2 linked regions of the Caenorhabditis elegans genome follow. The protein of the gene in region 1 purifies or fractionates together with the protein of each later gene. This does not show direct contact. Each region holds a gene or a part of one and is shown on either strand. Other genes may lie near its edges.

Region 1 (7,240 bases):
AATGATAAAAAAGTAAAAATTGTGAAATATTTTGAATTAAAAAATTAGAAACTTTATTTATTTCAGTTCGGGTTCATCGTCATTTTTCTGAAAGCACCTGGAGAAGATCAACGGCTACGAGACGGTGTTCCTGTATTATCACAAAATCCTGTGTGGTCAGTTAATGACTGGAATGGTTTGAATAAAGAAGTCGTAGATTTATTGAAAAATGAATCGAATCGTCTGTCGATTAACGAAAAGCCCGATTTGAGTGGATGGAATTTTAAAAGTTAGTTTTTCTTGTTGAAAAATTCGTATTTAAAAATAGTACTAAAACATTATTTTTTTAACAAAAAAATTATCATCCGTTATAAATATATTATTATAAATCGTCAATTTGTATTTCTAAAAATTAATAATTTCAGCTAAAGAAGACATGTCACTGAAAGGATCGGAAATCGTCGAATCTGTTAGTTTTCTTAATGAAAATTTTGACATTTTGAACGCTGCGAAATTTGGAGATTTGTCCACTGTGAAGACAATTCTAGTGATTCAGGTAATTTTTAAGATGGACTTTTATAGAAATTTGAAAAAAGTTAGTTAAGTTACACTTTTTTGTTGCAAAAATTGTTCTTTACAATACAAAAAAAACTTTAAAATATTGGTAAACTATAATATGTGTATTTTCTATGGTTACCATCAGGGCCGAATCTGAAAAAAATTTATTTTCAAGATAAAAAACAAGATTTTTCTCCAAAAACACTTTTTTGAAATTTTTGGAACATTTTTGAAGAAAACATATTTCCCGAAGTTGCACACAATTTCGTGTGTGATTTTTATTTTTGGAAAAAAAAACTTAAAATTTAATATTTATGAATTTTTTCGCGTTTTTCAATTTTTTGAACAAATCGAAAATAAATTTCTTTCCAAAAATAAAAGCAACGAAAAATCTACAGCCCTCGATCATTACCAAACATTATTTATTTTTTATTCAAAAAAAAATTTCTTCAGGTACACGATCGGCCGGTCTATTTGCAATACCTCATTGAGTCAATGCGAAATACAAAAGGAATAGAAGACACATTACTAGTTTTCTCGCATGACATCAATGTCGGAATAATCAATGAAATGATCCGTAACATCACATTCGCTCGTGTCTACCAAATCTTCTATCCATACAATTTGCAACTGTTTCCGACAGTTTTTCCAGGACAGTCTCCTTCCGATTGTCCGGAGAAAATGAAGAGAGATAAAGCACAAGAGACGAATTGTTCAAATTGGAGTAGCCCGGATAAATATGGAAACTATCGAGTAGCTCAATTGACACAGATAAAACATCATTGGTGGTGGAAGATGAACTTTGTGTTTGATGGAATTGTTGAGAAGTATTCGATGAAAGATCCATGGGTTCTACTACTGGAAGAAGATCACATGCTGGCTCCAGATGCATTACATGTTCTTGATATTATTGTATCAAATCGTCCAAAATATTGTGAAAACTGCGAAATAATATCTCTGGGATTTTATTTGAAATCCACTAACAAATACGGTCAAGACATAGCTCATCTCGGAGTTCACCCATGGTACAGTAGCAAGCATAATATGGGAATGGCTCTTCAGAAGAACACGTGGCAGAAGATCAAAGGATGCTCCGAGATGTTTTGCAAATGGGATGACTATAACTGGGATTGGTCGTTGATGCAGATTTCAGCAAAATGTCTACCTCAAAGGTTTCGGGTCATATTCACAAAAAGTCCACGAGTTATACATATAGGAGACTGTGGAGTCCATACGCACAGGTTAGACTTTATCGAAATAATCAACTGTTTCAACATATTTTGAAATAAGCTTCAGCATCCCGAGGATCAGTCATTAATTGAAAAATCTCAAAATTTAATGTAATTTTTCAAAATTTCAGATGTGAAGCACATAAAGCTCTCCAATCGACACAAGAACTATTCCGTCAGCATAAGGATCTTCTGTTCCCGACAAGTTTATCTGTGACAGACACTTCGAGAAGATCTTTGAAGCCGTCGAAAGAAAATGGTGGATGGGGTGACATTAGGTAGGGCTTAACAACACATATATTTAGTAAATTATAGCCGAAATTATAATTATCGAAAATTCAGCATTTATCTTGATATGCAATTTTTATCAATTTTTTAAAAAATTTAACTTCGTTTGCAGAGACCGTCAACTATGCGAAATCAACAAATCTCCATTGGTTAGAGTTTCTTCTCAATCTGCATCTGTACTCCATAAATTGCTCAACTCAAAAATCCAGTTCTCGTCATCCAACAAAACAATCACATCTACAACTTCTTAATCTTCAAAACTTTCCTCTTTTACGGATTTTGTTGACTTGCCTCTTCAATATATATTTTTTTCTGTAAGAATGGTGCCCATTTCTAGTTTCGTTTTCCGGTTCTTGTTGTTTTCTACTTGCTTCCCTCTTGCATAATTAACCATAAGATGACGTTGCTCGCTTACAAATACGGGTTTCTTACCGCTTTTCCTGTTTCGTTGAAATTTCCACCCTGTTTCCAAATTCCCCACCTCAATTGCATGCTAGTGCTCCTTTCATTTCTCAAAATCATAATGTTAATGGTATTCCGCATTTTTCCGGGTCTACAAAAATTATATGAATGATTCAGATTTTTAAAGATGGCATTAAAGAGCAAATTCGTATAAACTATATTAAAGCTAGAACAGATTTCCAAGATTCTTTCAATAACAATTAAATTCGTAATTTCGCAGATTTCTGAAGTTTCTACTTATAGGCGCAAGGCTTCATCTGTGGAAGCAAAAACAAGTGACAAGGTGCACAGTGTTTCAAAATGTATCCGTTCCCTCTTCAGATGGTCGAGTTGGGACCAACTGAAGTATTACCGGTACAGAGAGTGTAGATAGTTAGAGAGTGACAGACATCCGGGACTCAATGGGGCGGGGCGCGCGGAAGAGACGATTTGTGTCGATTTACGAAGTTTTCCTCGTTGTCATCATTTCGTAAATCGACACAAATCGTCTCTTCCGCGCGCCCCGCCCCATTGGGTCCCGGATGTCTGTCACTCTCTAACTATCTACACTCTCTGTACCGGTAATATTAAAATATCACATATTTTCACTGATGTTTTATTTTTACTTCCTTCTATACACATTCAAAACTCCGCCCATTTCAGAGCAGTTTTTCTTACAGCTCTACTAGAAGCTTCTGGTTGTCATGATCACAATATCCCAAGAGAATGCCAATCATCTAACTATAAAACCCTTAATCACTGACTCTTCTGCTCAATTTTTGTGCATTTTCGATCGGTTAGTGAGTAACATTTTCTTGTTTTTCACCTCTTTTTGATTTAAAAATAGTTTTAAAAATTGTATTAGTTGAGTCAGAAAACACTTTTATAATGATACATTTGTTGCCGGATTCTGATTTTTTCAGATCATAAAATCCTTGGATTGAAAACGATGTTTCTGATATATTGATTCTGCTTTAAAAACGAGAAAAAGGTAAAAAACGAGTTAATCTATTTTTTTTTGAGATTCGGGATTCTGTTTGTTTTATTAAAATTAATCTTTTGTAGGAATAATTCATTCAAGTTTTCTTGAAATTATTTAAGATTTCAAGGATGGGAGATAAACTCCCAATTGTTCAAGTTGTCATTCAACTTGTAACATTGATTGCTTCCATTTACTCTCATTGGCAATTTATCAAAGTTGCTGTAGTTCGGACATACTTCTTCACATTCACAAGGGGCCAATTGGGTACAATCAGTTGTGCATACGTACTCATTACATTTGGAACATTCTTCATGGCAATTTGTAAACTGATTCCTGATACTGAAGAGATTCAGAGAAAATTTGAGAATGTCAATGTAACCATGGGATTTATCATCAATTTCACCACATTTTTCTACTTTCTCGGTAAGTTTGAAACTAGCTTATTTCCGACAATTTTCTATCAGTCTTATGCCTTGAATATTGTCCCTATTTTCTACAATTTTCCTTTCCAGATGCACACATCGGACTCTACAAAAAAATGTTCGAAAAAGAGGCCACAAAAAGTTTCATGCTAGTCTTTTTCACAATGGTAGTTGCGTACATCTGCTTCATTATTCCTGAATTCACTCATCATGGCAATCTATTCCAATATTCGGATGAGATTTCTATTGGAATGTGCTTGATAAACATCGTCGTGAGTGAATCTATTTGATATTAAATCCAGAAGTAAACATGAAATTAATTATAGATGAACATTTTTGTACGTGGCGGGAAGAAGGTAGCTATGGAAAGAGAACTGGGAAAACAAACATTGAAAGTGAGATTCCAGGTGAGACAATTTTTTAATTAAATCAATTAATCACACTTTGAGCAAAACAAATATTTTTAAACTTTATCTTCAGATTTCGGAGGCAATTGAAAACTGCAGAGTGATGTTCTATATCACTACAACACGTTTTCTGATTCTTCTCTGCTGGATCATCTTCATCTACATTCCATCGGATCTTACAGAACCATTCCGTTCTTTTGCCACTGTAATCTTTGAAATTCTAAAAAGCATCGAAGCGATTGTGTTCCCTTCCGTGTTTCTTCATTTTCATGATCGCATTGTTCGTCATATTTTCTACCTGGCGACAAAAGACCTGAAAGACCCTCCAACTCTTGAACCAAGGCCAAGATTTGATGGATCCAAACTTCTTGCTGAAATGTCTCAAACGGAAACAATTGATTCAATGAAGAAAAGTTGGGAGAAACACCACAAAAAGTTCATGAAGGATAACAAACGAAATGTACCTAGTACGAGCAATCAAATATTATTGGAAGACGGCTCACGCGAAATTTTGGAATAATTAATTAGCCGATTGCCCTGTCACTTCTGTCAATTTTTGTAGAAAATGCTGAGTGCACGTAATCCGGTTTCCTGTTTTCTTCTGAAAGTCATTAAAATGTTTTTTAATATTCAATTTAGAGAACCATCTTTCTCAAACAATTGTTTTTTAAACATATTATATTTAAGCTCCAATCAAATAACATATATTTACCTCTATCTCTTTTTTGTCACCTCATTTAAATTGAACACTTCCTCTATCTCATTTTTATTTATGTGATAAAATACCGTTTTATTGTGATTGCGTCAAGCGAAAAATAAAACCGAATTACAAATACTTGAATAAGTAAAAACTATTGTTGCCATTTAACGGGAGAATCTATACATTTACAGGCAGCAAATTTGTGTACTTGTGCAGTATACAGTGCTGGCCAAAAAGATATCCACTTTTGGTTTTTTGTGTGTAACTTTTTTCTCAAGCATCCATTTGACTTGAATTTTTCCGTGTGCATAAAGCGAAATGTTTCGCAAATTAAGCAAATAAAGTTTCGCAAAGAATTAAATTGTTTCGCAAACGAAACGCAAATTTGCGGACCAAACATTACATGATTATCGATTTTTTCTGAATTTTATTTCAATTTTTTGATTTTTTCGTTTTTCCAATTTTCATTATTTTTTTTGAATTATCAATAAAACGCACTCTGTTTGTTGCACTGGATTTGTTTGGTTGATAAATTATTTTTAAGGTATGGTAAAATCTGTTGGGTGTAAAAATCTTTCCTTGGACGTCAAGAAAGCCATTGTAGCTGGCTTCGAACAAGGAATACCCACGAAAATGCTCGCGCTGCAAATTCAACGTTCTCCGTCGACTATTTGGAAAGTAATCAAGAAGTACCAAACTGAGGTGAGTTCGAAAAATATTATTTTTTAATAATAAATGTTTAGAAATCCGTCGCTTTGAGAATCTCGCCCGGCAGGCCTCGAGTGACAACCCATAGGATGGATCGCAACATCCTCCGATCAGCAAGAGAAGATCCGCATAGGACCGCCACGGATATTCAAATGATTATAAGTTCTCCAAATGAACCTGTACCAAGTAAACGAACTGTTCGTCGACGTTTACAGCAAGCAGGACTACACGGACGAAAGCCAGTCAAGAAACCGTTCATCAGTAAGAAAAATCGCATGGCTCGAGTTGCGTGGGCAAAAGCGCATCTTCGTTGGGGACGTCAGGAATGGGCTAAACACATCTGGTCTGACGAAAGCAAGTTCAATTTGTTCGGGAGTGATGGAAATTCCTGGGTACGTCGTCCTGTTGGCTCTAGGTACTCTCCAAAGTATCAATGCCCAACCGTTAAGCATGGAGGTGGGAGCGTCATGGTGTGGGGGTGCTTCACCAGCACTTCCATGGGCCCACTAAGGAGAATCCAAAGCATTATGGATCGTTTTCAATACGAAAAAATCTTGGAAACTACAATGCGACCCTGGGCACTTCAAAATGTGGGCCGTGGCTTCGTGTTTCAGCAGGATAACGATCCTAAGCATACTTCTCTTCATGTGCGTTCCTGGTTTCAACGTCGTCGTGTGCATTTGCTCGATTGGCCAAGTCAGTCTCCGGACTTGAATCCAATAGAGCATTTGTGGGAAGAGTTGGAAAGACGTCTTGGAGGTATTCGGGCTTCAAATGCAGATGCCATATTCAACCAGTTGGAAAACGCTTGGAAAGCTATCCCCATGTCAGTTATTCACAAGCTGATCGACTCGATGCCACGTCGTTGTCAAGCTGTTATTGATGCAAACGGATACGCGACAAAGTATTAAGCATAATTATGTTGTTTTTAAATCCAATTGCTCATATTCCGGTACTTTAATTGTCATTTCCTTGCAACCTCGGTTTTTTCAATATTTCTAGTTTTTCGATTTTTTTGAATTTTTCTGAAGTTTTTTCAAAATCTGTTGAACATTTTTGATGAATATTGTGTTTTTAGATTTTGTGAACACTGTGGTGAAGTTTCAAAACAAAATAACCACTTAGAAAAAAGTTACACACAAAAAACCAAAAGTGGATATCTTTTTGGCCAGCACTGTAACTGACCCAAGAATATTTTCCTGTACTTTTTGTATTTATTTCTTTTGAAAATGATAATTTAATTGAAACGTCAAATTGATTTACATTTTTAGGCTTTGTAAAACACTAATTCTTGATTGAACAAACCGAAACTTAATCAATTTAAATCGAAGTTTAACAGTTTGATAAATTTTTATGATGCTCAGATTCAAAGAGCAATAAATCAACTAATAAATAAAACTAGACTTGGAAAATAAAATTCATTGACGTACATCAGGGACTGAGGGATATGAATGTCACAACAACTACTCATTATATTTAAGCAAAACGGTTCTCAAGAGTAATAATTAGTGACATAAAACCGTGTG
Region 2 (7,829 bases), on another chromosome or scaffold:
TTGATCCGTGTCTTTTTTCCAGCTCCACTGGGACCACAGAACAAGAGATGCGGCATACAGTCTGCGGAGAGAAACTTCAAATGATTGGCCTGCTCGATGTGATAATCAACGCCATCCTTTCCCAACAAGTCCTTTGGTCGATATTTGTCCACCCACAACGCCATTTTTGCACTAGAAAAGATTAATATTATATTGTCAGAGTAATTAAAGTCCAAAATAAGCGCGAGAAATAGAAGGTGGAACCCGAAAAGTAATTCCGCGGCACGCGCTTTTATGGTAAATTAAAAAATTAAACCGTGCCGCGAATTGCGCTTCGGGAATCCGGATCCACCGTATATTTCTTGCTAAAAAAATTAAAAGACATATTCAAAGATATCACAATTGTCGCAAACAATTGAATAGAGGAATAAATAAATAGAAAATAAATAAAGAGAATTGTAATAAATTAAAAGAATTCATTTTCAGAAACTCGACAAGTCAACAACGAAATATTTTACAGGTTTAGCCTAGTGAGACGAGTGAGTGAAGATAAATAAGAAAATAATTGAGATATCTACTTGATATTCATTTTACGCTTGAGTGCGATAATGTCGTCACGGCGCTTCTTGTTCTCCACTTGTTGTTTCTCGAGGTTCGTGGCAGCTCTTCCGGGGATTAATCCTTCCTCCAGTGCCAAAGTGAACTCGCGATCCGTCAATTGAGTCGTGTCGACGAACACTTTTCTCGTAGAGTGTGGTGTGTAACCAGCACGTCGTGGAACTAAAAATTGCTATGAATTAGCGAAAAAAAGATAAATATGAATAGTTACCTCTAGTTGGAGTGGTTCCTTTTGGCGTGGAAATGTACTCGGTGAATGTATCATCTTCTGGGACAGTTGCAGGAATGATTTTTCGAGAAGTTAAACGGCATGGTTTCGGGATTTGTGACTTGGTGAGCTTCTTCACGTCCACATGAGATCTTGCAACGGACTTTGTCTTTTTGGTAGAGGTGGTGGCAGCAGATGACGATGAGCAGCCAGCTCGTGAGCTGACAAGAGCGGGAAAATCATCAGCAGATTTATCCCCGAATTGGAAGGACATTTTCTCAGGATCCTGAACTTGCCAATTGCGCGCAGCAGATCTTGTAGTTGATCTATCAACTGGGTCACGTCTTGGCACACTTTTCGGGGTAGCAAGTCTCCTGATAGCTTCTGGGACGTCGCCGGTCATGAATTCGTGTCGTTTCTTCAATCGTTCTTGACGCTCTCCGAGTGTTTCTTCTTTTTCCATCTCTCTTGCATGAATCATTGCGAATCTGTCTCTTCCACTGGATGGAGCACGCTGACGAACTGGCGTAATTCCTCTGTTCTCGATCGGCATTCCTGGTCGCTCAGATGTTTGAGGAGTCGACGAACTAGCGCGGAGAGACAGTCTTGTCGAAAGACGATGAACTCTCGGGCGTGACTTCACCTCGAAGCTTTGCAGATCGATTCCCAAACTGCCACAGAGACGGTTTCTCAAGTCATCATCCAAAACGACAGCAACCGCATTTGTCGGAGTATTCTCGTCTGTAATAAAGCTGTTTAAATTTCAACTAAATGGAATATAACTTACGAACAAATCTGCCAGTAGTATTCTCAGTTTCTTCTTCCTCTTCAACTGTGAATGTGCGATTGGCAGGTGCTTCGTCGGTGTCCATAGCCTCGGCTTCCGGCTCTTCCCTGATTGCCTCCCCGTTTCCGGCATTATTTTGGCCAGCGAGAAACTGAAAAAGTTAAATTAATCACATTGTTTCGACTGAGTTCAAACCTCCAAAAGACGCGATTGAAGTTCCGATTTCTTTCCCGCAGTCGAAGCCCTTTTCTTCTTTAACTCCTTGCGAAGCTTGTCGCATGTCATGTTGAGCACGTCCTCTTCGGCGAGCTCTTTATTTTTGGCTGACATTTTACTGAAATTATTATTTTTATTGAATAGTGAGAACAGAAAAGCAAATGAAACAAGGAACAAATGAACAAGAAACAAAATAGGACTCAAGAAATTTCCCTCCATCGCTGTTTGAAAAATTGTGTTTTTCGCGCGGTGTACGTTGGAGCGCTGTTGCTTTCTTATTGTGTGTAGTCCTCTCGAATAAAGAAATCAATATTCGTATTGTTTATTTCGTCTGAAATTATTCGTTTCTTCGAAGAATTCTTCTCAAAATGGGCCTTGTGGATTACGCAGGAAGTGAATCAGAAAGTGATGAAGAAATGGAAACACAACAAAAAGTAAGCAAATTATTCTTTATTCAGTTTGAAAACATTTTCGAATTTTCCAAAATTTCAGAATTCACTCGCTCCACAAAATCAACAACTCGTCGATGATGAAGCATTTTTTGACAATACAGAAAAATCAAGCTCACCAAACATGAACAAAGAAGATGTTCTCGAAGAATTAGTAAAACCGAAAGAATGGGAGGTTAAATTGGCCGAGAAAGCAAGGAGAAAGCTGGAGAAAAAAGCTCTGAAAAAAGCACAAAAAGAAGAGAGAAAAAAGGAGAAAAAATTGGCGAAAAAAGCGATGAAAGTTGAAAAAATTCCGAAAATTGGTGGTGGAATTCAAAAAGCAAAAGGAAAAGTTATAATTTCGGCGTTCGGAGCTCTCGCAGGAATTACTGGCGAAAATTCCAGCGATGACAGTGATAATGAAGGTGCTGCTGTTGCTACAGTTAAGCCGAAGCTTGGAAACAGTTTTTTGTCAAACCTTCCAGCTCCAAAAGGAAGAGATAATCGTTCAGATGGTGCAAATGTATTCGATAAGTCCATGGTTCCACATTCAGTTTCTAAAAAGGTAAAAATTGAAAGTCGAGTGCGGATTCTGAGAAAATATACTTCTGATTTCGAATAACTAAGTAAAAAAATTTCCCTAATTTCTTATTTCAGCTTGAAATCGCCGATTTTCATTTGCGTCCCCATGAGATTTCCGAATTTTCACACCAGAGACGTCATGTGTCGATTTACGAAATGTGTGTATATTTACGAGATTTTCAATCTTAATCGGATGCTGATTTCCGGTTTTCTCAATTTTCGTCAGTTTTTGCCGAAACGTTTTTTGAAAATGTGTTTTTTTTTGAGGTTAATTAAACATTATAATATCAAAAAACTAACTAAATATTCGATTTTCAGTCAGGAAAAGCATATATTTGGATTTTCCGCTGAGTTGTGACCTAAGCATTGGAAATTTACTTGGTTTTTTGATAATATAATGTTTAATTGGCCTTAATAAACACATTTTCTCAAAACATTTTGTCAAAAACCGACGGAAATAAAGAAAACTCGTTGAAAAACAGAAATCAGCATCCGATAAAGATTGAAAATCTTGTAAATATACACAAATCTCGTAAATCGACACACGGCGTCTCTGGCGCGAAAATTCGCTGTTTCAAGCTAAAATATAAAACCGGGGAATTTTTGTTCGATTTTTGTCCCCATAAATATTAAAAATCAGGATAAAATTTCCAGATTTCTTCACTGAATTTTTATTTAATTTAAAACTTTAATTTTAAAACTCTTTCTCTTCCAGGCTACACCTGCTGCTGCTCCAGTTTTCAAGCCGGCTCCAGCTCCAAAACTGCCAGACGACAGTGATGACGATGATGACGGTCCAACCGATTTCTTCGGTTTCTCATCTGCTCCAACTAGAAAAGAATCAGAAATTCCATCAGAAATTCCATATATGACAATGAACAGCAGCATGGATGTAGTTGGGCCATCCCGTCCAGATGAAGGAATGGATCCTCGACAAATGTATGAAATGCCAGAAGAAGAAGAAGATGTTCAAGAAGGTCCATCTGCTTCAAATGCCTGGCTTCATCGGAAGATCAATGACGAGCAAGCTCATAAGCTTTTGATGCGATTCTCTCATGATATTGGACAAGAAGAACGTCGTTCGATCAACGAAATGGCCAATTCAATTGTCGATGTGAATGTGGATGATGCTCTCGGACCGGATGTTAAGACAAATATTATCAAGAATCTTGGACATCGCGCATTTGTTGAAGCAACTTCTGCTCCATTGCCACAAGTTCAAACTCAAGGACAAATGTCGAGAAGAAAGCATCAAATTACGTATTTGGCCAGCTTGGTAAGAGATATTCCAGATTTTATAGATTTTCAGGCTTTTACTTGCATCAAAAACCCAAAAAAAAAATCGCGAAAGAATGGAAAAGTCAATTTTTTAAAACTTATTTCTCATTTTTTGGCTGAATTTCTTGATGGAATATTCGGTCTTCAAAAAATTGAAGATTTAAAAAAAAACGAAAATTTTCAATTTTTTCGAAAACCGACAAATCGGAAACAATAATTTTACGGAAAAATACGAGAAAAATATAAATTCACCGAAAATGCAAAATCAATTGATTTCAATTACAAAAATACAGTTTTTTTTTCAAAATTAACAATTTATTTTAAAAAAATCGAAAAACCCGATTTTAGCCAAACAAAAGTGCAAAGTTGTCCTCGTGGAGTATGAAATCTGCGTAGATCAACACTTTTTAAGAGCTTGTGCTAGAAATCACATAATTCACTTAATTTCAGGCAGTATCCCGCGAGGAGCAGCTCAAAGATCAATGGGCCGATCAGAAGCAATCGAAGCGAATGGCGCGACAAAAGTACGGATTCTAATATCATTTCGAAATGTCTCATTAATCATTCAGTTTTCTCTCTCCCTTGTATTTGTGTGTTGTTTTGATGATAAACACCCATATAAACACGAAATGAATTCATTCGTTTTGAAAGTATAAGCACGTTATAATGATGAGAAAATTGCGCGATCGCTCGTTAAACGGGCATTAGCCGGCAGAGTACATAAGGCCGATTGGAAGGCAAGGAGGACAGGCAGAGATTGTCTGAAATGTCGAACAACTTCATTTGCGCAGCCGTCTCGGTTTCGTCGATACTCGTCGTCGGGTATATTACAGCGGGGCTGCTCATTTTCGCAGATTTTCGGACTTTTTATTCCACGGCACTTGATGACGTGGCAGAGTTCAATGTGAGTTTTTTCTGTAAAAAACACGACAATTTTTCGTTAAATCCAAGAAAAATCGTGCGCCTTTAAAGGTTACTGTAGTTTCAAACTTGTGCTGTTGCAGAATTTTAATCGATTTTCCGCGTGTTTGTATATAATTTTTAACAAATAACTATTTTTAAAACAATCGATGAAAGTTCTGCAAGAGCAAAAATTATCGATTTTTTCACAGTTTTTTGGCAAATATAACAATAAAAACACGTAAATTCATGAGAAAAACTGTGAAAAACCAGATACAAATTACGTAGCAACGAAAACACAGTACTCTTTAAAGGCGCACACCTTTTTTATTTAACAAAAGTTTTTCGTGTCGAGACCGGTGACCGTAGTTTCAGCTCAAAATGCACAAAATTTCTCGTGTGGGATAATAAGAAACTATGCGGAATACCAAGTGTTCCTTGTGGAAAAACATTAAAGTCTCTGAAACTGCAATAGTATAGTTAAAGATAACATTGATTCGAAAAATATTATCAAAGTTTTTTTTTTTTGAAATAATTGCTCACGACTCACGGCTCACGACGCGGCAATTTTTTTCATCAATCTGGCCTAATTTTTCAGAAGTTCGCAACTGAAGCCTGGGATGATATGATCGAAATCAATCGCTCCGTCGTAAGACAAAAGAGAAGTGGAGAATCAAAGTGTGGATGCATGAATAAGGTCAATAACTGCCCACCCGGACCTGCAGGACCACCAGGAGAGCCAGGAGCCCCTGGAGATGACGGATGGAATGGAGACGCAGGACAACCCGGACCAGACTTTCCACTCTTTGATCAATCCCTCATCTATCAAAGACCCCCATGCATTCGCTGCCCAGTCGGAGAGCCAGGACCTCCAGGTCCAGACGGAGAGCCAGGAGAGCAGGGACCACCAGGACCACCGGGAGTTGACAACTTTGAAGTTGGACATGATGGACCACCAGGTGTCGAGGGAGAACCTGGAGATGCTGGAGATCAAGGAGAAGACGGGGAGCCAGGTGTCGATGGAAGACCAGGCGCCAGTGGAATCAGAGAGATAGGAATGCCAGGAGCACCAGGGGCACCGGGTGTTGCAGGAGCTGAAGGACTCCCAGGCAAGGATGGAGAGCCAGGAATTCCTGGGCCAGAAGGGGAAGAGGGACCACCTGGAGCAGCAGGATTGGATGGAGAGCGGGGAGACGAAGGGGAGCCAGGACCTGAAGGACCACCTGGAATCCCAGGACCTGATGCAGCCTACTGTAGCTGTCCACTTCGTTCGGCACGTCTTGTCTTCTAATTTATTCCGAAACATTTTTTTTTATTTAAAAGAGTTTTTATTTATACAATAAAAATTAGCAGTTTACAAAAATCTTCACAAAAACGACAAAAAACCCGTTGTTCTAAAAATACATAAACCCAAATTATGGACATTAAAGCAATGAAATCAAGGAGGAATTAAAGTCGGGACGACGCAACGTCGTCGTTAATTCCAATCCGTTCCAAACTGTCAGTTGATGTTCGAATCGGCTTGGATTGAAGATCATCGAGACCTGAAATAATTCCAATAATAGCTGACTAAAATATACGTTTCCCCGACACCATACAAGAACAACGAGCACTTACCCATTTCCGCTCGGAACTTCTTCCGATCCGAGACCAGCGTGAGTGAGGACACAAAGTACAGTCCGGCAGAGAGCAAAAGCAGTGCCACGCAGCAATACGTGGCACTTACCAATGAATGATATTGATCTTTAGGATATGTGGATCCGTGGCGGATTGCGTCGGAGATTAACCCGATGAGATACGGACCAGAAGCGTCGCCAAACAAATGGGATACCAGTACGAAGTAGGAGAAAGCAGTACTTCGCCGATTCGGGTGGATGACAGTCTGAAATTTGTTCTGCTATTATGCGTTCTCTGGTGTGCACGTGGTGTCAGAGTGTCTCATTTCGGCTTGATCTACGTTGATCTACAAAAAATGCGGGAGAAAAGACGCAAAGTTCTCAATTGATTTTGCATGGTTAAGAACGTGCTGACGTCACATTTTTTTGGACAAAAAAATCCCGCATTTTTTGTAGGTCAAACCGTAATAGGACAGCCTGGCGCCACGAGTGTGCGGCGGTTTGTTTTTTTTTGGTTTTCAGGTTTTCCGGTTTTTTAACTTATTTTGTCTGTTTCAGTACAGTAATTGAACCGATTTTCAGGTACTTTTTGAAAAAAGAGAAACAGTTTTCACGTTCGTTTATTTTTGCAGAAAACGCAGTTGAAGGATCCTTGATCTTTACGGAAACTCTAAATATTTTTATCGGAGATTGATTTTTCGATCACTAAAAAATGAAAATATTTTTGAGAAAAGCTTCAAATTTGATTCGCTTCACAAACAACAAAAGTCAATAGGAATCGGGAAAATCAATCACTGAACACCCTGTTTCACTCATTGAATTTAAAAATTTCAATGTCGCATCACTAACCGTCAACATATCGATGTTCAGACCCCAGTTGAAGCACATGAAGGTGATTCCAAAGAAGATCATAATGTACAGCAACACCAAGCTCTTATCTCCAAAGATCATTCCAATAAGTAAAAATGGAGCAGCAAGCAACGCCCCGCCACCAGCCACCAAAGGCTGTGCTCTGTCTGTCTGGAGTCTTCTGAATGGTCCCCATCCAGCTACCAGCCATTTGGAGAGCATCGATCCGAAAATGACACCGATGAGTCCTCCAGCTGTGGTGATTGCTCCGAAATAAAGAGCTACTCGATCCTTATCAGTACTTGCCAGATCCTTTGTGTCATTAAGTCCTTGATGCCAAGCAGTCAAATGTTGAATTACTGTAG

Evidence for each region.
Region 2: the proteins of C03E10.3 (region 1) and prcc-1 fractionate together in Caenorhabditis elegans (co-fractionation; one large-scale study listed by BioGRID). This does not show direct contact.

The regions. Positions count from the first base shown.
Region 1 is NC_003283.11:11,283,401-11,290,640, forward strand, and holds C03E10.3 (G protein-coupled receptor), read left to right. Parts: upstream 1-3,013; 5' UTR 3,014-3,076; intron 3,077-3,175; 5' UTR 3,176-3,291; intron 3,292-3,418; 5' UTR 3,419-3,486; intron 3,487-3,560; 5' UTR 3,561-3,605; coding exon 3,606-3,900; intron 3,901-3,989; coding exon 3,990-4,171; intron 4,172-4,225; coding exon 4,226-4,306; intron 4,307-4,379; coding exon 4,380-4,826; 3' UTR 4,827-5,140; downstream 5,141-7,240. Other genes in the region: gly-20 (Alpha-1,6-mannosyl-glycoprotein 2-beta-N-acetylglucosaminyltransferase), read left to right, coding at 67-268, 405-535, 991-1,778, 1,898-2,044, 2,167-2,305.
Region 2 is NC_003282.8:13,088,104-13,095,932, reverse strand, and holds prcc-1 (Proline-rich protein PRCC), read left to right. Parts: upstream 1-2,137; 5' UTR 2,138-2,176; coding exon 2,177-2,242; intron 2,243-2,300; coding exon 2,301-2,804; intron 2,805-3,536; coding exon 3,537-4,097; intron 4,098-4,549; coding exon 4,550-4,636; 3' UTR 4,637-4,746; downstream 4,747-7,829. Other genes in the region: rfc-3 (Replication factor C subunit 3), read right to left, coding at 1-164; C39E9.12 (SAP domain-containing protein), read right to left, coding at 554-759, 809-1,546, 1,593-1,743, 1,788-1,922; col-132 (Nematode cuticle collagen N-terminal domain-containing protein), read left to right, coding at 4,866-5,003, 5,598-6,290; spin-2 (Major facilitator superfamily (MFS) profile domain-containing protein), read right to left, coding at 6,449-6,543, 6,617-6,881, 7,465-7,829.